Linked DNA regions of Drosophila melanogaster. The main gene of each other region encodes a partner of the protein of the gene in region 3 in a complex. Each region holds a gene or a part of one and is shown on either strand. Other genes may lie near its edges. The genes, in order: IntS9, IntS4 and IntS11. A codon is read from its position in the direction of its gene.

Region 1 (6,756 bases), on a different chromosome or scaffold from region 3:
CTTTGCTAATTCTTTATTATTTCCTAAAGCTCGTGCCTTTGCTTGGGAGGCCATTAAATCGCAAAAAGAGGAGTTCAGCAGCTGGGGCATTTTGGCCAACTGGCAGAAGGACAATATCTACATGACCTTCCAGCCAGAGTTTATAGTCAATCAATTGGAAATGTTCTACAATCTGTACGAGAAAGGACTGGTCTATCGCGACTTGAAGCCAGTTTACTGGTCACCTTCATCCAGGTGAGTTGAATACAACTTAAATTGATACTTAACACTATCTTATATTTTTTAGGACAGCCCTGGCCGAGGCGGAACTGGAATATGATGCTAATCACATAAGTCCTTCGGTGTATGTGAGATTTGCTCTTAATCCAAGTAGCTTTGATGTAAAGGATAAGCAAATTTATGCCCTAGTCTGGACCACAACTCCGTGGACCTTGCCGAGTAACCAAGCCATCTGTTACAATGCCTCGTTGGAATACGTTATAGTCAGGTTGTCGGATCGCAACCAGGATGAGCTATACCTCATGGCTTCAGCTCTTATGGCGGACTTTGAGGCCAATACTCAGCTAAAGTGTGAGATAGTGCAGCACTTGAGTGGAGAATTATTGAGCAAGCTGAGCTATAATCATCCAATTGATAAAGAACAATCGAATCTGCCCTTTTTCGACGCCAGTCATGTGCAGGATAGCAAAGGTACGGGCCTGGTGCACACAGCTCCTGCCCATGGACCAGAAGATTTCCTTGTTAGTCTGACCCAGAAAATTCCTGTAAAGTGTTTTGTGAATGAGGAGGGCACTTACACCAAGGAAGCTCCTGATTTTCTACGCGGAAAATCAGTGTTGGATCAGGGAAATTCCCTAGTCCTCGACCGCATAGCAGAGGATGTAGTCCACTCCTCAAAGCTGGAACATTCCTATCCTATTGATTGGCGCACAAAAAAGCCTGTGATAATTCGTGCCAGTGAGCAGTGGTTCATTAATACCGAAAAGCTAAAGACGCCTGCTGCAGATGCCTTGGAACAAGTGGAGATCTATCCTAGAGCCAATGCTGAGGCCAGCAAGAAGGCATTGCTCACACAACTCCAGAAGAGACCATATTGGTGCATCTCCAGGCAGCGAGCGTGGGGCGTACCCATTCCTGTTCTCTACAGTCGGGAGTCCGGAAAAGTGGTACTTAATTCCGCTCTTATTGAACATCTTTGCAATCTGCTCCGCAAGGAGGGATCAATCGACTTCTGGTGGGTAAAATCCGTGGAGGAACTGGTACCCGAGCATTTACTTCGTGAACTTCACCATGAAGCCAAAGATCTTGTCAAGGGCACTGACATACTGGACATTTGGTTCGACTCTGGTAGCACATGGTCCGCTGTGCTGGGCAAGGATAAGATAGCCGATCTGTATCTTGAGGGTTATGACCAATTCACCGGTTGGTTTCAATCATCACTGCTTATGAGCATTGCTGCTCGGGAATGTGCACCGTACAAGTGAGTAGATACGTAATACCAAAGACTCTATTCTAGTGTAATACTTTTTAATGAAAAACCTATTCAATATTAATATCCAATAGGGCCCTCTTCGTTCACGGATTTACCGTGGATGAGAAAGGATACAAGATGTCGAAATCTTTGGGAAATGTAATTTCCCCAAAGCAGATAACCAAGAAATATGGTACGGATGCACTGCGTTGGTGGGTTGCCTCCCATGGAACGCAGCACATGTCCATTACAGTGAGCGATAAGCTACTGCAGCAAGCGGCAGAAAATCTATGCAAGATCCGCGGAACTATGCGATATTTAAAAGGCGTAATTGGAGAGAAACAATCGGGGGAGAAGCTTATACGAACTTCGGATAAGAGCTATCTTAATCGTTATTTGTTAAGCCAGCTGGTTGAATTTGAATCTGAGGTAGGAAATTTTGTTAATCTTAGTTTTTCAACTAATCATGTCAATCGCTTTTAAGGTGGAGAAGCTATACCAAGCTTATGAGTACAATCGTGTTGTCGCCTGTGTCCAAAACTTCATTGCAAATCAGGTGTCCGCCGTCTATGTGCATCTCATCAAGGATCGTCTTTATTGTGGTGATGATCACGAGCTACTGGCCATTCGTCAAACTCTTACCCACTGCTATCAACAACTCTGCAAGAGCTTATGGCCCATTGTTCCCTTCCTGGTGGAGGAAAGCTGGAGCTACTATGACACCACAGGTGGTGCATTCCACGAGCAAATTGTTCAGACTAATCCTGAATGGCAGGACACCAAAGCCACTGAAGTGATTAATGCAGCGTTCGATGTTAAACGACTTATTAACCAACAGGCTGGAGATGTTAACACCTGGCACTTGGCCGTGACCATCAAAGGAAAGGAAAGAAGCCAGCTGGATTTGCTGCGAGAACTTCACAGCCCTCTTGGAGAGTCTGTGAGCAATTCTGAATTATGCGAGATATTGCAAGTGGGGTCAGTTACGCTCTTACAGTCCCATAATAGCGACTTGGATATTGCTTTAAGTAAACTTCAGATATCACTGTGCCCACGTTGTCGTCGCTATGGTCTGGAGGATGAGCAGAAAACGTGTCAACGTTGCTCTGACGTTATGGAGGCAAAGAACTAAGCGTAATGATGTGTTGTTATTTAGGTGTAAGGAATACATTTATGTTTTTAAAAACTCTGTAAGCATTTCATGATGGTGTCTCGCAGCTTGAGCCGGGTTGTTGGCTTTCCGCCGCAGATAATATGCGTCTCGTTGTCCTCGAACTTAATGACTGTGTCCTCATTGACAAGGTTCAGAGTCAGAGCGCCGCCAGTGCGGTCTAGCTTGATGTTGGAGAAGCCATCCTGTGCCAGCTTCTTCATCACTGCATCTACATCAATGCTGCCATACTCGTATTTGACGTTCTTCAGCACATCCTCCTTTGTCGGAGCGCTGTTGCTCGAGATGGTCTCGTCTTTAACGCTATCCGCACATGGCTGGATGCAGTGGACCTTGTCCTTAACTTGCAAAACTCCTGTCAATGTGGAGAAGGTCACGCCGGCCGCCACCTCCTTTGGCGATATCTTTTGGGCCAGTTCCGAGGTAATGTAAATTCGATCCAGCTTCCGTTTTAATGGCAGACGTATGATCTCGCCGCACTTGAACGTTATTATCTTCTTATCCGGCTGTTCAATGAACAAATTTGGGGCCGAGGGATGTGGTTTTGTGTATGCCTCTGGGATGACAAGCACATTTGGTTTCAACTCCTTGATCAGCTTATTTGCCTGCTGATAATTCAAAGAGGTGTCGATGGGACAGTAAAAAGCCTTCATGGCCAGTGGTTGGAAGGGCGCCAGTACTTGCAGATACGGAAAGTCCGGCTCCGTGAATATGATGGAGTTGTTAGGGTTATTGCCCCACATCTCGATAAAGTGAACAGCGTCGCCGAAACGCAAGCTAGGATGGCCACAAAAGACCACGCAGGGCTGTAAGGAAGACAGAGAATTTGTAGTATGAAGTTTTCACAATTATGTTAGACAAACCTGCCGGAAGTCCTTGCTAAAGCCCTCGGAGAACACATGGTTATAGTGCTTCAGCTTGTTGTTGCGAAGGTAAAAGGCATGTGGGAAAGGATCGTCTGGAAGATACACTTTGTTCTGCTTGGCGGAACTAAGCCACTCGGCCAGGATATTAGAATACGCCAAGGAGCTGTCTGCCACAGGGGAAATAAAGAACATGGGAACATTGTTTAGGCCAGCGTTTTCCAAATTCTGGGTGAGGCACTCAAAGAGGTCATAGACAACGCCCGAAGGATAACAGGGAATCAAGGCAGACCCATTGTTGCGGATCGTCAAGGCCACATTCATGCAGAGCTCGCCCAGCTTCGTGTCCGGATTTACCGTCGGCGCCTGCGTCAGTCCGGTCATAATGAGTACATCGGCGTGCTTCAGCGCCGACTGATTGATGGGCCGCGGATGTGTGGTCAACGTGGAGGAACCACTGACATAGCAAATCTTTTCATGCGCCGTGCTCAGTACCCAGTTGCTCGAGCCCAGGCAGTAGCCCGAGCTGACAGGAGTGGCGATAAAAGCTCCGAGGATGTCCAGCTTCTCGTCGTAGCCCATGATGGTCACCTTGGACAGACTGCCTTGGACATCCTTAAGACTAAAGATAGTGCGCCACTTCTTGGCGCGAAAGGCTTCGCTCAAGGGACTGGGCAGCAGATGAAGCTTCTCCTTCCACAAGCGCGCGGTGCACGCCTTGGGCGACACTTCGATATAGTCCACCAGCTCCTCCAGGAAAAATCGGCCGATCTGCAGCGTTGGCTCCGTGGCATAGACTTTGCCCTTGAACCCCGTGTTTTCCGTGATATACGGCAAGGCCAGCATATTAAGATAATTCGAGATAAGTATCACATCCACTTCGCTGAAATCCAGCATTTTGTCCATGGGTAGATTAAACTCGGGCGTCGAGTCCACGAAAACCCGGCCACAGCAGTCCTTCAACTCGCCATCCATTTGGGGATCATGATCCCGACTGGGCACGAAGTTGGGCAGATTGGACCACTTCAGTGACTGAACGAAGGGCAGCGGAAGGAAATTCAGGACTGTCTGCTCCGTGAGACCGCAGTCCAGCATAATCCGCAGGCCCTTGAAGGTAATGATATAACATGGCTTGGCCAGGTCCCCGCTGAGACAATACTGCAAAGTGGATAGTCACTTCCGCTAATTAAGTTGTTATTTACTTCTCAGGATGACTTACCAATCGCATTTTATTAAACCGACAGTGCCGATTAGACGATGCAAGTTTGTTTATATTTGGACCAGGGATGGGGAACGATTTGGTTCACTTATGAACCGGAATCAGCACCCGGCTAAATCATTAACCATAGGTACCAAAATTAGTTAATTACAAATTTTGGTAAATGTTTTACTACTTGTTAAACTGTAGTCATCACGCTTTAACATTTGTGCAACCACATTTTTTTCACTCCACTTGTTGCAGTGCTGTTGGTTTCCATCCCTGGTCTCTTTATTTGGTTTTTCGCAAATTTGAATAATGTCCCAGCAAATTCGCGTGGTACAATGCATTCAATGCAAAATGTACCAGGTGAGTGCAAACAAACTGAAATATATCTTAGAACTCAATAACTACTTATATATATATACCTAATTTAAACAAGGTGGACTTCGTGAAAAAGGCAAGCACATGGCAGTGTAAAATTTGCCGCCAAAAGCAAAGTTTGCTCAAGGAATTCTTTCGAGGATCGGCAGCGGAATGCCGGGTTAAGGTGCAGCATCTCAACTTAGAGCGCGGAATGCAGGAGGAATGTCTGAACACGGGCTTATTCCTCACGGCAAAGCAACAGCTCGAAGAGGAGAAAGACTGCCAAGAAAAAGAGGAAAACACCACACCTCAGAAGAAAACAAATAAATGGGCAAACTATGTGGATAATACCATTGAAACTACTCAAAAGCCTGCAGCAAAACCTACGAAAACCGATGAACTTTCCGACGAAATCTCTATGAACTTTAAGAAAACCAGGAACACAGGGCCACGATCCTCTAAACGTTCCGCTGAAAATATGCCAACAGTTACTAAGAAAATTTGCTCTAAGTGGAACGACTTCTTGTAATTCCTTAAAAATTATATATCATATATATAAATATATATTTGAATTAATTTCAATTAGAACTTATTTATAAAGCGAAGAATATTATCAGTGCTAGATTATCTCCAATTAAGATTTCCAGTTACGTGAATGAATTAAGCTTATCTTTATTAAAAAAATAATTTAATTATAATTGTTCAATACGTTTTATTAAAATCCGCTTCGTTCTAGTATTTGTGTATATGAGTGTGAGGGCCATAATGTTCACATTCAAACTGAATACATTGCCTTGCCTTGCACTAATGCTAGAAAAATACAAGTTTTATGATCCACTAAATATTGTTAGTTAAAGTTGGGGTAATTTGGGATTCACTAATCGCCGATTGGGCAACATGTTGGACATGCTTAGCTCCTTGTGCCCCAATCGGTTTGAATACTCGTGTATAGATTAGAGTTGGTTATAGTTAAGTGACGCCTGGTCGCGCTTTTATCTTGAGAGAAATTGTAATATTAGTAGCCGACTACGTGTATATAACCTATTCTCGCCGCTTAGGTGCTGGCAGGAGTGCCTCCGACACCCTCCTTCTTGGCCACCTTCTCATCGGAGCCGGTCTCATCGATGTCATTGGACTCGGTCTCCGTGCCGGGTGCACCACCTGCCTTGCCCGATGACCTACGTCGCTTGCGGTTGACACGCCATGGACGCATTGGAAACTTCATCGCCGGCAATGGCTCCATGCCAAGCACTTTGTAAATCTGTCGAAAGGCAATGTAGCGCAGGAAGAGCTGTGCGGACACAGTGAGATCCTCGCGCTCCTGTTTGGTCAACTCGAGTAGAGCGTCTGTGGGGTCCTTCTCGCAAGGATCCAGCAGGCCCGGTCCGTTGATTAGAAAGCCTGACGATAAGGCCTCCATGATGCGACGCATGCAGTCACCGGGCGAAATGGGAAAGCCAGCCGACGAGATGACCTTCTCTACGAGGAGCTCCAAAGACCATTGGGGCAGCGATTGCCAGGAAGAGACGCGCTGGCACAGATCCCTGAGGATGCGTATGACCATGACGCACGACTGGAGGCCTGTCGCTCGAGCCTGGAACCATTTGGCGTGACGCAAATCAGCCAAAGCCTAATAAATTCATATTCATTCATAATTAGTTTGTGATTTTTCTAGTTGCTTTTTGGC
Region 2 (7,067 bases), on a different chromosome or scaffold from region 3:
GTATACAACAAACAAGCATAAATGATAGCAGCGTCTACAAAATCCACAACCAGATCAGAAAAAGCAGGAGAATAATCAAAACGAGAAAATGGAGAAAAGGTTATCCAGAAAAATGATCAGAAAACGTGTAAGCTGTAAAACCTATAATGAGAAATAAACTATAGAAACTATATGAAAAGAACAAGTCTTAGGCATTTCATTCCCCCCCACAGTAAGTATTTTAAATGATGTACGATTTTCTTAAAGATTTATGGTACACACTTTATTTGAAATGAATTCATCTTAAACATATGATTATGATATAAGTAAGCTACGCACAACTGATGCTCTAAACATTCGGTTTTTTCGATTTAGAAAGAACTTTGGCAACCAACTGCTATGGTATCTTAAACAATCACATACATATATTTAAATAACAGTTGCTCGTTGCGCCAATTCCCTGGGCTCTCCTCCTCCCCCTCCTTCTCCTCCTCCTCCAGCGGCTGTGTGGCCTTGTCAGCTTCTCGCTCCGCGTCGCCAGGACAAAAAGCACCTAGTCCATTACCTGGAAGTCAGGCTAAATGCCCCGCCTGACTGGTTTGGGTGCGAACAGCACCTTTGCCGGCTTGCAGAGCTCCAGTTCGCTGCCGGGACGCACGGCCAGGCACAGTTGGATCTCCACCAGCGACGACTCCGTCCAAACGCTGTGCGACAGCAGGATTGTGGTGCGCAGGCGCACATTGGTCTTGTGCTCGCCCTGCTCCGTCATAATGGGCTTGAAGTCACTCTGCTTCGGCACCACGGTGTGCATGTGCTGGTCCGGATACTTGATCTTGATCCGCATGTCCGCCTTCTGGGACTCCAGCAGATTGTCGATTTCCGCAACAAAAGGAACGGCTGCTATCAGGCCAGCCGTGACCTTAATTACATTATCCTGCGATTGCAGCGGACACGGCTCAAGGATGTTGGCCACACAGCGGCGTATTTTGTCATTGGCGGGTGGCAATGCAAGCGGAGGAGCCTGCTGGACCAGCGGCAGAATTTCGCGAAAGACGCGACCCGGCTTGGGATCCGATATGCCATCCAGTTTGATTAGCAGCTGGCGGGTGAAGCTATCCGGCTGGGCATCCCTACTGACCGACTCTTTCATGGGCATATCGGTCTCTACCACCGGTGGCTTCTCCTCCTCATCCTTCGTATTCGCCTTGATGAACTCACTTATATCGCCGGCGGTTTGCAAAAGCATCTGGCACGGGCCCAATGCACTCTGTGAGCGATCCCTGACCACGAGGACCAAGTGAAGCGCGCAAGCCCTCAGGCGCAGCTGCTTCACCTGCAAGATATCGCCGTAATTGAGGCCGGAGAAAGTGTGCTGCAGCTTGAGACAGTTTCGGATGAGTGCTGCCAGTGATTCCTTCAAGGGCACCCTGCTTCGTTGCGTGCTGGCGCAACGCTGCATCTGTTCGATCTGGATCTGGGCCGCCAAGAAGGTCTCTAGAAAGTTTGAGGTGCCGTACATGCCCGCATCAATGGATCCCAGGCGCTAAAGTTTATTAAAAAAAAAACATAGTAAACATTAGTGTTCATTTATATTGTAGTAAGCCCAGCGGGCATACAAACCTGCAGATTAGATTGGGCAGTCTGGAGCAGCTCCAAGCGCTCGTCAGTCATGGTGAAGATCTCTTCGATGTGACTGAGAATCATCTGCAGGTACTCCGCCGAACTGCCCGCTTGGTGCATAGCCGAATCGATCCTGTGCGTCGCACTCGCCGAGGACGCACCCTCAATGGGCAACTGGGGCACCAGATTCGGCATCGAGTCTCTCAGATAGGCGTAATGGCGATGGGTGGCCGTGGGCAGCAAACTGATAATGGGCACCAAATGTTCTGCAGCATTGAAGACAAGTATCAGAACGCACAGATACGCTGGATCCTCGACATCGCGTTCGGGCGTCTCGAAAAAGGGATGCACGTAAAGCAGGTGAACGGCGACAGCCATCACCAAATGTGGATGCTTCTGGCCAATCTTGCGCATGCAGGCATAGGTGGAGTTACGATCCTGTGGATACTTGGCCAGCACATCTAGCAGCTTCTGCACCACCATTAGCAGGCACGTTTGTGTGGACACTCTACAGGCGCCCAGCATGAGATGTAGTCCCTCACGCACGTCCACGGAGTAATCCTCAAGCGATCCAAGCATTATCTCCAGCTGATCCTCGCGCAGCACTATGTGCTTGGCAATGGCCGTTAAACTATAGATGGCCTTCAGCCGCACATCCTCGATCTCATCGTTGAACATGTCCACAAGGAAATCTAGGCTGGTCACCGCGAAATCCGGTCGAGAGAGGGCCAGCTTGCACATGGAGGCCACTGCCGCAGTACGCACCTCGAGGAACTCATCCTCTAGGCCATGTATAAGGGCGCCACAGGCGCCGCTGGCTATAATTGAGATGCTCTGAGCATCGAGGTGCTCTTGCGGCGCATCGTCCGCCCACCGTTTACCCGATGACCACTCACCGCTGGCCACCAGGCGAGCACCTCTCTCGTGCGCCGTTCGCTTCCGGCGCAGATTGCTCATCAGCTTTTTGTCGAGTGTCTGGTGTAGGAACTCCCTGCTTACGGCGGTCATCCCACCGAGCAATTCCGCTGCGAGCACGCGAATTTGCAGCGATAGATCGCACAGGGCTTCGCAGACCTTGCTGAACGCAGCGTCTATCATGCGCAGCTCCTCCTGCTGGCGGTCCGAGGGTAAAATGTAGTCCGGATGCCGATTGCCCAGCATGAAGACCAGCTGTAGAGCTTCCTTGCGCACACACTCGTAGTCATCCTTCATGGCCTCGACGGCACGCTTATAGAGCACCGCCGGCAGTTGGGATCCCCGTTCGCCGAGGGTCAGCAGGGCGTGCAGAGCCTGGGCACGAACGCTCGAGTCCTGCGAGTCGATGTAGAAGGCTAACTTCCATACGTAATGACGCTCACCCTCCATTTTGGTGGCAAAACGACCGATTACCAGCATGGCGTTCTTCTGCGTATGCGCCGAACCGGAGCGCAGCTGCTCCTTGGCTAGGTGGGCCACCTGGGTTTTGTACGATATGGGCAACATGTGCTTCCTGCGCTCCCCGATTCGAAACAGGCACATCATGCCCTGGGCGAGCACCTTTTGGGACACCTCCTTCCTCAACAAGAAGATAAAGTAGTCGATGATCATGGTAAGCGCCTGCTCGGTGGCACACTCGCAACCCAATCCGGACAGCAGCTCGAGCAGCTTCACCCGGATGGAGGTGTCGCTATCGCGTTCCTGCAGCTGATACAGTTGGAAGATCTTGCTGGCCACCTCCTTAAGCTCGCCCATTTCCACGTCCTCATAGGATATCTCATCGGTTATCTTGACCAAGAGCTCCAGCAGTTCCCTGCTATTCGCGGCCGTCATTGGGGGAGCTCCAGTCGCCGCAGCCGGCGGATTTCCGATGACACCTGTTGACGGGGCTCCCGTCGAAGCAACTGGTGTCCCAGTGGGCAGGACCAACGCACCGGCGGGCAGGTTGCCCACATAGGCGTCCAATTGGTTGAGCGCCGTCAGCTTGCGCTCCACATTGCCCACTTTTCCGGATTTCCCGCCCTTGGCATCAGCGGCCAGCGTTTGCAGACGCAGCTTCTTCACCGGCGGCGACCCGTCCACCGTTTCCACGTAGGTGCCTACGCGCTTCTTAATGGCCAGCGCCATGGTTTCCTTTTCCTTTGCGCGATTCAACCAATGCAGACTAGAGTTGCACTCTTCCACCTGGTTTAGGTAAACCGCAAATTAGAGATGGCACACCACTGATGCCAACCACCCGCCACTAGCGATGGCATCGTGACCGCGCAAGAGGTTCTTGCTGGTGGATAACCCATAACTAAATAAATTGCTTTCACAAGAGTGATAATGCTAATATCACCAGGCATTTAATAATTATATTATTTTAAAAAAATGTGTCATTTAGTAATCATATAAAGAAAACGAGGCATATTTTTTGGACATTTCACTTTGAAGGCGTGAAACATCGATAGTATAGTGAAAAATCGATGTTTTCTTTTCGTCTTTTGTTTTGCTCTCGCTCTTCTCCATGAAGTGATAACTTCTCAACAAAGTGATGATGATCCATCAACCACTATTTGGGTATTCATCCTCAATTCGGATTGATTCGCCCGTAAATCATTACTTATATTTAAATCCTTGTTTCTACTATGTCATCTCACATGGGCACAGTTATGATTTCTCCACGCTCAAAACGGACAAGGGGTCATCATCTACCTTGCCCTTCTTTTTGGCTGCGCAATTCTTAACGCATCTCATGGCTTTGAATAAGACTTTTTCCGAGGGTAGCGTCGGTTCCACCTGACCGATGGCGTCTGTAGTTGGGGATAATTATTGAATGGATCACTAAAAGTTGGATGTCGAGCACTAAACTTACTCATAAGCGAACGAAACAGATGTTCGTGATCTTTTAGTCTTTTCTTTTTCTGATTCCCATCAATATTGTAGTTCAGAAGGATGTCCTCGGAGAAAATGAGTCTTATGGTGCGGCTTAATCTTCCCTGGCGCAGGAATTTCCGCATGGAATTCGTCTGATCAGGGATCATATAAGTACAACTATATAATATTCTATTGATGGAAAAGCATGAGGAAGGAGAAACTTACATAGATCCCCCTGGAGTCCTGGCTTATCTTGTGATTCACTTCGACCAGATCCTCCTCATACATAATTGGAAAATCATCGTCCGGATTTCCCTTCGCCTTCGGCTTGGTCGTTTTCATCGACTGCTTAACGAATTCCGTAAGTGTCTTAACCGCCCTCGTCAAGTTTTCGATTTCTGCGCGCTGCGACAGGACTTGGGAATTGAGTTCTAAGTGGGTTAGGTAATGTAATATGATCCGGTGTTATAAGATATGTATGTCACAAACATACCATCTATCTTTGTTAGCAGCATGGCATTGGCTGCGATATGACTATTCTCGGTGGCGAGGCAAAGTCTCTTGATTTCAGGCATTGCTTCGTTAATTTTTAGCATTAAAGTGAATACATATGTATATTTAGTTTATGAATTGAGGAAAGTCCCTAATGGAAGCGATTCGCTTCGCTACACAGTTAAGCTCCAAATGGAATTCCTCGCTGTTTCATCATTGCCTTCGCTAGGCGACGAATGGGAAAGTAAGGGCACGGGCAAAAACTCCCTCTTGCTCATCACATATGAGTAACTGGTGAATCAGTGATGACGACGTCTGATTAGCGGCGGAACTGTACAGTAGTACAGAGAACATGGTGAAAGCCAGAATATCGCATGACAACCAATCGCATAAGCCACAGGATAAATAATACTAATTGTTTATAATAATCACAATGTTTTTAACGAATTTAGTTGGTGATGCGTCCTGTCAGTTGAGTAGGTGGGAATAGCATGGACTTTCCCCAAATAACAAATGCTAAGTTGGGTTTTTTTAAAATTGATTTAATACATTTTTTTTATGTTACAGTTAAATTTGAAACTATATTTAACAAGCAATTTGGATGTCATCGATATTTTGTAATAGGACCATTCACTTAGCGGAGTCATCAACCTTGGCGAATCTAGCGAGCACATCCACCTCTCGCTTATCAGGTCTATCGATAACATCGCTCATCAATCGATTCGTGAACCAGCTCTATCGCGAAACGGTCGCGTGTTCGCACGCAAATTGCAATATAAATCCACAGAAATTGACAGGGAACGTTGCTAAAGGGCGAAAAACAATCGTGCCGCGATTGAGGCCTGCGATCTGCACAGGAAATGCACAATTGCGAAGCGCAATTTGATAAATTCGGTAATGTTCGATTCTCGAAAGAACCAGTCGTGTGCGTCTGTATGTGCTTCAAATGTCACTCTGTGTGCGGGTGTGTGGGGAGTGCATAAAAGGCATAGAGGCAGCAAGGAGTGAAAGAGAGAGCTCCATCGGCAGCGCAACGAAAGTGAGCGAGAAGCAGAAATTGTTAGTGCTTATAAGGATATGTGAGAAGGGAGAGTGAGACAGTAAGAAAGAACGGAAGAAGCAGCAGCGACGCCGACCGACAACAACTGTAATTTTCCATTAATTTTTGGGCGGGTTTTGTGCTGCACAATAATACAACTGGCATAATATAACTTGGCTTATTTTTTATAACCAACATGTGTATTTTGTTCACGTTTTGCTGCGTGTGTAGGTGTGAGTATATGTATGTGTGATAAACTTGAAATACAACGCAATCGCAACGAGAACCAAAACTTGTCAAGGTAAAACGGCTAAAAAAAAAGAAGAAACGAATTGTGTGTGAAAAATTCCAACTGAATTACGCGAGAAATCATGTGAAGAGCAGTTCGATACGCATGTGTGTGCGTGTGATAGAATACGAGGATGAGAGCGGGCGTGCGTTTGGAGTAGTCTGCTTAATTGATTTTCGCTTAATTACTGCAGCGGTTGCATAAATTAAATGTTTACATTTGCCCCGGACAGTGCTGTAAAGAGAGAGAGCCCTTCGAAGCCAGGTGGCAACACCGAGGCCCGTCTATCGATATCCACTGCAATTAATTACTCCGACTAATTTCAGCCTCTGTATGTTTTTTGCCGGTTAAAACAATAAATCGCTCTCTCTTTCTGCCTTTCTTCAATATCACTTCGCCCCGCTCTCTCACTTGCTCTCCTTGGGTCGTTAGCCAACACTGGCGAACATTAAGAAAGTGTTAATTTGCCTAAAATGTACAAGTACATGTGCGCGATGGCCTGCTGTAAATGTGTGTGGGTGTACGGGAGTTTTCCTCTGTCAAATGCAACTAAGTTTTTTTTTACCGAAAATTCAGCCAGCAAATGAAAATCGTATCGGGTAAAATATGCATTAGGTGTAGGTGTGTGCGCATTTAGCGGTTTCTCTGCCCATCTTTCTTCTCCCTTTTTTCTTATTGTATTATATTTTTTTTGCATAATCGAAGCCGCCTTTCGGTACATGTGCATGTGTGCTGTCCCGCTCCCACTCCCACCCCCATACTACGGCCACCTGTACGCCCTTGCACACTCACACACAAACGCACACACCCAACAGA
Region 3 (7,067 bases):
TGGATTTTTGGACAGCGCTGGCTGGCGGTGGTGTCCTTGTGGACGGACGTGCTTGTCCACCCACCCGCGAGGACATACAATTAGATATTTAGTTAAAGACAACCGCAACATATGTTGCTCTCTGTTTTTAATCCCTACAGAACTCTCAATTTTATAATTTTTTCTCCCCTTTCTGCTACTGAATGTGCGGCTCGACCTCTCAACTCCAAGGTGGTTGTAATATTACCTTTTAAGAGCACCTTCATCAAGTAGCCCTAAGATTGAAACACTCGCATAACTGTTAAACTGTTATTAACACTAATCAACAATAGCGATTAAAACCCAATACGAATCTTTCAAAAACCTTTAATGATTGAAGAAATTCAATAAAGTGGACACTTTTTTCAAAAGCCCAGAATGTTTATAAACTTACTTGCATCAACAGACAACAGTTTTATTTTCCAATATTTCAAAAAAAGTTAAGTAACAAACATTTGTGCTATTTAAAGTTGCAGAAGATCGATTAAACCTGTCTGTTAATTTACTTCACAAACGTTGAGCTTATTTTACAAGTTTACATCTTCGAGCTACATTTATATAAAAATCTGTTTAGTGTCTAGTGCAAGGTACTTATTGGGCTTAAGTCTTCTCTATTTACAAGGCTCTCAAATGGGGGGCAAAAGCTGGGCAAACCCAGCCTCCTCCGCGTCTCATGAGTACGCGCAAAGGTGTCCGCACTTGGGGCACTTGGAGTGTTTGGCAAAGTACTTCTGCAGGTGCTCTATGTGACCGCCGTGGGAGCATCCTTGGCACCAGGCGTAGACTCCCCGGACGATCAGACCGCAGACGCAGCACTTGGCGGACTGCATGGACTTGCACTTGTCGCAGTACCATCCCACCTTGCCGCCCATTGGACGTCCACACTCTCCACAGTTCGTGTGCATGGCGGTCGAGTGCTGGTTGAGCTGCTGCACCGATCTCAGCCAGGAGCGGTTGATAACCTCGCAGGCCTCGTTCCACAGCTCATAGCGATGCAGCTGGTCCACGTAGGTGTAAAACCAGTGCTCCTGAAAAGGAAGAAAACCGGATGAATAACTCCGTTCTGATCCCAACTTTGTCTTTGAACTCACCACCAATGCATCGTCAATGGGCAGGAGCTTCCGAGCTTCTCCCAGCGCTATAAGGACTGTCAGAGCTGTTTGCACATCGCCCACATCGTTCATTAGCATGAGGGCATCGGAGACGAACTTATGCGGTTCCCACATGGGTATGGGCGGGACATGGCTGACTTTTAGGACAGTGGGAACATGCGGTGGCTAAAAAGAGGATGAATAAGTTAGTTAAGCTGTAAATACATCGAGTTCTCAATAATCTCAACTAACAGGTGACTTTTCGTGATCGGACGCCTTGAGATCCAGTTGTGGTCGTGCAGCCTGCACATCGTGATGAAGGGCGGGGAAGGCCAAAGCTTTCGGGCATTCTGTGGGACCCACGTAGATAAACCCATTGCGCAAGAGCTCAAAGTTGTCAAAGGTAATCTCGCTGATGATTTGCGTTTCGGACAGAATCACTGAGCTCGTAGGCGGATGCTCCACACCACTGCTGCCGAGCGTATCATCGTCCACATTCGCCACATCAATTTCGTGGGCTGTTTCCGGCGTGTTTCCATTGAGATCCTGGCCTAGTTCAGTTCGCTGCTGTGGCCAATCGCTGGCTACTTGCGTGGCACGTCGTGAGTTCATTGGATTCTTTTGATTCGAGAAGGAGGAGCGGTGCTCGAAGGGAGGCTCAAAGTGATTGCTGCCGTAGAACAATTTGATAAAGTTCCACAATGTGGTGGCCTGAAAAATGTAGATGCTAAGTTTTGGCAAATTTTGGGAATAATCTCAAGCGCTTACATTATGTTTGCCGTATTTCTTGGAAACCTCTGCATTGTGCTCGCATAACTCCGATAGTTTTTTCCCACTGATAACAAGTTCCCTGGCACAGCCAATAAAACTTTCGTGTTCTTGGGTGGGTCTTGAAACAGATTCGCTTAGGGGATAGCCGGAAAACTGAAATATATCAATTAGTATCAGATTTGGCAAAGAAATCCCTAATAGTGTCATACTAACCGTGTCGTTTACCATGAATTTGTACATTTTGGAATGGTCCAAATGGAACTGAATGCTGCCAGCCACATTCGTCTTACGGCGACTTCTAAAATACACATACATATAAACATACAAGTTGATACAACAAATACGACATACATGAAGCTAGAAGACTTGGTATTGGATGCACCGCTGGTCTTGGGTTCATACTCCTTGATCTTGTTGGCAAAGGAGATGTCCCCAAATCTGCCCAGGCTAGCTCCCTGGGCATTTGCCTTCAGCGCTGGCCTCGTGGCATCCTTAAAAGCATGTTTGTAAATGGTGGAGTCCTTGCTGATGGACAGAAGACAGTGCGAGTCGCTGCCCTGCCACGCAATTCCAGTAGTCACATTGGTGTGCTCGTTGAAGGAGGCAAAGGGGATGTAGGGTCTGCGGATGTCCCACACATGAACGCTGTAGTCCACCACAAGGGCACAACTAGCGATGTGATAACTGGAAAGGATTAAACAGATTTAATATAAATAAGACTGTTAAACCTGGCTAGAAAAACCTACGTTCTTTCTGGTCGCCACTTAACCCGTCCCACTACGGCGATTGTGTGAATGGTGTGCTCCAATCCCGGCCTGCCATCCATGTTCCACACCTTGATCTGCTTGTCCCGACTTCCGGTGGCCAGCCAATTCCTTGTGGGATGCCAGTCGCATGTGTAGACTGGCCCGTAGTGCGCCGTAAACTGCACCATGCACTTGTCCCACTTCCGCATGTCCCACAACTGGACAGTTCCATTCTCGGAGACGGCGGAGAATATGTTTTGTGTGTGTGGACTGAACTTGACATCCCGCACTGATTCCGAGTTGCAGAAGTAGGTGTTGATTGACTTATCCGATCGGATGTCGAAACACTTGATGGTGCCATCCTGAGAACCGGAGATCAGGATGTTGGGCTCGCTGCTGTGAAAGGTCACGGTATGAGCGGTGCGCTCATGTTCGTTGTAGACAAGCAGCTGCTTCTGCCTGCCGAACTTGGAGAGATCCCACACGGAAACCACTCCGTTCGTGGCCGCCGTAGCCAAAAGATTGCTATCCAAGGTGGACCAGGCCACATCGTTGGCGGAGTAGCTAAGATTCTGGTTCTTTCCGCGCATATTACACGATTCCGTGAAGCCATTGCTGTTTATGGAGTACACCTTAAGCACTGTTCGGAAGCAAATTATGTGTATTTATAGAAAGACCTTGGGCAATTCTAATCTTACAGCTTCTTCCGGCCAAAGCAATCTGGTTGTTGTCCTTATTCAGGGCCAGGGCGTTCGCGTGTCCTTCCAGGCATATCCGCAGCGAGATTGTGGAGGTGTCCTCCACGGAATCGGGCATCCTGCAGCAGTTGCAAGTTCGCCCGCAGAAAGCAAAACAGTGATTTGATAAGACAAGACGCTATCTTTTATTTTCCTTTCGGTTCAGTATGACCGTTTCTCGAGCGGCAAACCATTGGCGCGAGTGTTCCCAAATGCAGATGTTGAATATTGTTTGAACAAAAGACTTATTGTACTAAAGTTGTATTATTCACATATAATTAATGTATTCTATACATATACAGACAGAAACATTAATTTCAATTAAGCTATTAAATTCTTTGAAACTTCTTGGAACACTCCAATAAGATCTGCCAGTTGGAGCGCGTCGTTGCCGGACCATCCACACCGACGGAGTGGCAACGCCATTCGTGCGGCCTTGCTGTTTACAAAAATCACGGTCGACTTTTTCGACAATTTCATTTACCAGCGCAACAAGTGGCCGCAAGAAAGCAGGAGAGTGGAGCCGGGTGATCCTGATCCCTTCCAGAAATGCCGGACATCAAGATAACGCCCTTGGGCGCCGGCCAGGATGTGGGCCGCAGCTGTCTGCTGCTCTCGATGGGCGGGAAGAACATAATGCTCGACTGCGGGATGCATATGGGCTACAACGACGAGCGCCGCTTCCCGGACTTCTCCTACATAGTGCCGGAGGGTCCGATCACCAGCCACATTGACTGTGTGATCATCTCGCACTTCCACCTGGGTGAGTCTCGGCCTCCCAAAGGCGCTCTTATCTGGTCAACTGGCTCTAATCGTTTCTTTATCGATTGCATGCATTCCAGATCACTGCGGGGCCTTGCCCTACATGTCAGAGATTGTGGGCTACACGGGGCCCATCTACATGACGCATCCGACCAAGGCCATAGCACCCATCCTCCTGGAGGACATGCGGAAGGTGGCCGTAGAGCGGAAAGGCGAGTCGAACTTCTTTACCACCCAGATGATCAAGGACTGCATGAAGAAGGTGATTCCCGTCACACTTCACCAGAGTATGATGGTGGACACGGACCTTGAGATCAAAGCCTACTATGCAGGCCATGTCCTGGGCGCCGCCATGTTCTGGATCAAGGTGGGCTCCCAGAGCGTTGTCTACACGGGGGACTACAACATGACTCCAGACAGGCATCTGGGAGCCGCCTGGATAGACAAGTGCCGGCCGGACTTGCTGATCTCCGAGAGCACCTACGCCACTACCATTAGGGACTCGAAGCGGTGTCGCGAGAGGGACTTCCTCAAGAAAGTTCACGAGTGCGTGGCTAAGGGCGGCAAGGTTTTAATCCCTGTTTTTGCCCTGGGTCGCGCCCAGGAGCTGTGCATCCTGCTGGAGACGTACTGGGAGCGCATGAACCTCAAGTACCCCATATACTTTGCTCTGGGTCTTACCGAGAAGGCCAATACCTACTACAAAATGTTCATCACCTGGACGAACCAGAAGATCCGCAAGACCTTCGTTCACCGCAACATGTTCGACTTCAAGCACATCAAGCCCTTTGACAAGGCCTACATCGACAATCCTGGCGCGATGGTAGTGTTCGCCACGCCAGGCATGCTGCACGCAGGTCTTTCCCTGCAGATCTTCAAGAAGTGGGCGCCGAATGAGAACAACATGGTGATTATGCCCGGCTACTGTGTGCAGGGAACCGTGGGCAACAAGATTCTCGGTGGCGCCAAGAAGGTGGAGTTCGAGAACCGCCAGGTGGTCGAGGTCAAAATGGCCGTGGAGTACATGAGCTTCTCGGCCCATGCAGATGCCAAAGGTGGCTACAAGCTTAGCACTTTTATGCTGATACTAATTAATTTTCTGTATTGCAGGCATTATGCAGCTAATTCAGAACTGTGAGCCAAAGAACGTCATGCTCGTCCATGGTGAAGCAGGGAAGATGAAGTTCCTGCGCTCGAAGATCAAAGACGAATTCAACCTGGAAACCTACATGCCGGCCAACGGCGAAACCTGTGTGATTTCTACGCCTGTGAAGATACCAGTAGATGCGTCCGTTTCCCTGCTTAAAGCAGAGGCCCGGTCCTACAACGCCCAGCCACCGGATCCCAAGAGGCGGCGACTAATCCATGGCGTCCTCGTAATGAAGGACAATCGAATAATGCTGCAAAACCTAACCGATGCCCTGAAGGAAATCGGAATTAATCGACATGTTATGCGATTTACATCCAAGGTCAAAATGGACGACTCCGGACCGGTCATTCGCACAAGCGAAAGACTGAAGACTCTGCTCGAAGAAAAGCTAGCCGGCTGGACGGTGACGATGCAGGAGAACGGCTCCATAGCCATCGAATCCGTTGAGGTGAAGGTGGAGGAGGACGAGAAGGATCCCAAGCAGAAGAACATTTTGATATCGTGGACCAACCAGGACGAGGACATTGGAGCCTACATACTGAATGTGCTGCAGAATATGTGCTAGGCAACGAAGAAGCATCCCATTGAAATCCCACGCCTTAATTCCATAGATAAGCACAAAGTGTAGATACCACCAATTTCTGAAAGTTTAAAGAGTATCAAAATATACATAAACGTTCCAATAGTTTTTTGGTCATTAGTCATTGCCACTTGAAATTTGAGACTTTATGCACATTAAGTTATATCAATGGGTCTTTGCATAAGAATGCAATCGAATCCCATGATATCAATGTGTAAAAACCAAACAGACCTGTGCAAGTGCTTTCAAATTCCTTGCCTCCCACTCCAATTAGGTAAGGACTCCATGGTTAAAGTTATTTTCGTTCGTTCCACGCTATTTATTCTGGGGTTTTTCTGAAAGAGTAACATTACTAGGGCTCCAGGCGTAGCTCCAGGTGCCTGGCACCATATGCAATTAGCTGTATGAATCGTTAGAGCTGTTCGAACACATTCCATTCGCTTATGTGAGGGCGGCGGCACCGGAGATGATTTCAATCAGCTCGCGAGTGATGACCGCCTGTCGGGTACGGTTGAAGGTGAGGGTCAGCTTGTCGATCATCTCACCGGCGTTCTTGGAAGCGTTGTCCATGGCAGTCATACGGGAGGACTGCTCCGAGCAGGCGCCCTCCTTCATGGTGTAGAAGATGAGCGAGGCCAGCGAGAACTCCAGATAGCTCTTGACCACGTCGCTGTCGAGCGAGTCGTAGACGGCCAGCTTCTCCGACTTCTCCACGGTGGATCCGCTGAAGATGGGGAGGGTGGAGCACTGGTAGGACACCACCGACTTGAAACGGTTGTACACGATCTTGCCCTCGGTGTAATCGTAACCGGTCTGCAGAACCTCGTTGGCAATCTTCGAGGCGTCCAGGAAAGTGGGGGGCAGTCGGCCCACCTCGTTGGCCACCATCAGGATGTTCTTGCCGTACAGACGGGACAGAATCGCGCGCGACTTGTCGCCCACGCAGAACACCTTAGTGTTGGCCTCGTCCTGGGCCAGTTCGCCGCGAATGAGACGGGCCACACCAGTGTGGACGGCACCGCAAAGACCACGGTCCGAAGTCACTGCGATGAGCAGCTTCTTGGGCTCCGCCTTCTCGTCCGGCTGGATCTCCGTCTTCTCGAAGAACTGCTGGGCGCCGATGCCGTAAGGACGAGCCGCCTTCAAGTCTCGCTCGGCACGAGCGTACTTGGCAGCGGACACCATCTTCATCGATTGCGTAATTTTCTGAAT

Evidence for each region.
Region 1: the proteins of IntS11 (region 3) and IntS9 are in contact, whole or in part, in a cryo-EM structure (PDB 7SN8), measured with the Drosophila melanogaster proteins. Residues at the interface, in NP_651721.1 of Drosophila melanogaster: His94 (codon at 4,271), Lys97 (codon at 4,280), Ala98 (codon at 4,283), Pro135 (codon at 4,394), Thr137 (codon at 4,400), His139 (codon at 4,406), Gln140 (codon at 4,409), Ser141 (codon at 4,412), Glu149 (codon at 4,436), Lys151 (codon at 4,442), Lys274 (codon at 4,811), Thr277 (codon at 4,820), Tyr278 (codon at 4,823), Lys280 (codon at 4,829), Met281 (codon at 4,832), Phe282 (codon at 4,835), Ile283 (codon at 4,838), Thr284 (codon at 4,841), Trp285 (codon at 4,844), Phe294 (codon at 4,871), Val295 (codon at 4,874), His296 (codon at 4,877), Val450 (codon at 5,394), Lys451 (codon at 5,397), Ile452 (codon at 5,400), Pro453 (codon at 5,403), Val454 (codon at 5,406), Asp455 (codon at 5,409), Ala456 (codon at 5,412), Ser457 (codon at 5,415); in NP_648838.3 of Drosophila melanogaster: Glu128 (codon at 4,291), Tyr198 (codon at 4,081), Asp199 (codon at 4,078), Glu200 (codon at 4,075), Lys201 (codon at 4,072), His230 (codon at 3,985), Asp333 (codon at 3,676), Ser334 (codon at 3,673), Ala337 (codon at 3,664), Tyr338 (codon at 3,661), Asn340 (codon at 3,655), Ile341 (codon at 3,652), Glu344 (codon at 3,643), Gln351 (codon at 3,622), Val354 (codon at 3,613), Tyr355 (codon at 3,610), Leu356 (codon at 3,607), Pro357 (codon at 3,604), Asp358 (codon at 3,601), Asp359 (codon at 3,598), Pro360 (codon at 3,595), Arg509, Lys510, Leu511, Asp512, Arg513, Ile514, Tyr515, Ile516, Ser518.
Region 2: the proteins of IntS11 (region 3) and IntS4 are in contact, whole or in part, in a cryo-EM structure (PDB 7SN8), measured with the Drosophila melanogaster proteins. Residues at the interface, in NP_651721.1 of Drosophila melanogaster: Thr182 (codon at 4,535), Pro183 (codon at 4,538), Arg185 (codon at 4,544), Gly188 (codon at 4,553), Ala189 (codon at 4,556), Trp191 (codon at 4,562), Ile192 (codon at 4,565), Asp193 (codon at 4,568), Lys194 (codon at 4,571), Arg196 (codon at 4,577), Ile210 (codon at 4,619), Arg211 (codon at 4,622), Asp212 (codon at 4,625), Ser213 (codon at 4,628), Lys214 (codon at 4,631), Arg215 (codon at 4,634), Arg258 (codon at 4,763), Asn287 (codon at 4,850), Gln288 (codon at 4,853), Lys289 (codon at 4,856), Lys292 (codon at 4,865), Thr293 (codon at 4,868), Met299 (codon at 4,886), Gln400 (codon at 5,244), Asn404 (codon at 5,256), Asn469 (codon at 5,451), Ala470 (codon at 5,454), Pro472 (codon at 5,460), Pro473 (codon at 5,463), Pro475 (codon at 5,469); in NP_572488.1 of Drosophila melanogaster: Arg226 (codon at 3,027), Ser227 (codon at 3,024), Gly228 (codon at 3,021), Gln233 (codon at 3,006), Lys256 (codon at 2,937), Phe259 (codon at 2,928), Tyr260 (codon at 2,925), Asp262 (codon at 2,919), Ser263 (codon at 2,916), Gln264 (codon at 2,913), Lys299 (codon at 2,808), Asp300 (codon at 2,805), Asp301 (codon at 2,802), Cys349 (codon at 2,658), Leu351 (codon at 2,652), Lys380 (codon at 2,565), Lys381 (codon at 2,562), Ile437 (codon at 2,394), Glu441 (codon at 2,382), Glu443 (codon at 2,376), Phe444 (codon at 2,373), Leu445 (codon at 2,370), Glu446 (codon at 2,367), Arg448 (codon at 2,361), Asp471 (codon at 2,292), Phe472 (codon at 2,289), Asp475 (codon at 2,280), Asn478 (codon at 2,271), Glu480 (codon at 2,265), Ile481 (codon at 2,262).

The regions. Positions count from the first base shown.
Region 1 is NT_037436.4:16,100,831-16,107,586, forward strand, and holds IntS9 (integrator 9), read right to left. Parts: upstream 4,798-6,756; 5' UTR 4,734-4,797; coding exon 4,725-4,733; intron 4,664-4,724; coding exon 3,506-4,663; intron 3,449-3,505; coding exon 2,651-3,448; 3' UTR 2,604-2,650; downstream 1-2,603. Other genes in the region: IleRS-m (Isoleucyl-tRNA synthetase, mitochondrial), read left to right, coding at 30-234, 287-1,480, 1,564-1,900, 1,956-2,603; CG43295 (uncharacterized protein), read left to right, coding at 5,022-5,072, 5,146-5,598; Zn72D (Zinc-finger protein at 72D), read right to left, coding at 6,124-6,699. UniProt on the Drosophila melanogaster protein: Component of the integrator complex, a multiprotein complex that terminates RNA polymerase II (Pol II) transcription in the promoter-proximal region of genes.
Region 2 is NC_004354.4:8,554,997-8,562,063, forward strand, and holds IntS4 (integrator 4), read right to left. Parts: upstream 3,786-7,067; 5' UTR 3,703-3,785; coding exon 1,600-3,702; intron 1,523-1,599; coding exon 557-1,522; 3' UTR 243-556; downstream 1-242. Other genes in the region: CG12112 (uncharacterized protein), read right to left, coding at 4,225-4,367, 4,430-4,583, 4,657-4,862, 4,925-5,027. UniProt on the Drosophila melanogaster protein: Component of the integrator complex, a multiprotein complex that terminates RNA polymerase II (Pol II) transcription in the promoter-proximal region of genes.
Region 3 is NT_033777.3:29,741,558-29,748,624, forward strand, and holds IntS11 (integrator 11), read left to right. Parts: upstream 1-3,779; 5' UTR 3,780-3,912; coding exon 3,913-4,126; exon of another isoform or gene 4,127-4,205; coding exon 4,206-5,180; intron 5,181-5,235; coding exon 5,236-5,840; 3' UTR 5,841-5,956; downstream 5,957-7,067. Other genes in the region: Gnpnat (Glucosamine-phosphate N-acetyltransferase), read left to right, coding at 141-182; Wdr24 (WD repeat domain 24), read right to left, coding at 690-1,046, 1,110-1,295, 1,362-1,820, 1,878-2,033, 2,094-2,178, 2,232-2,564, 2,627-3,266, 3,325-3,442; ATPsyngamma (ATP synthase, gamma subunit), read right to left, coding at 6,297-7,067. UniProt on the Drosophila melanogaster protein: RNA endonuclease component of the integrator complex, a multiprotein complex that terminates RNA polymerase II (Pol II) transcription in the promoter-proximal region of genes.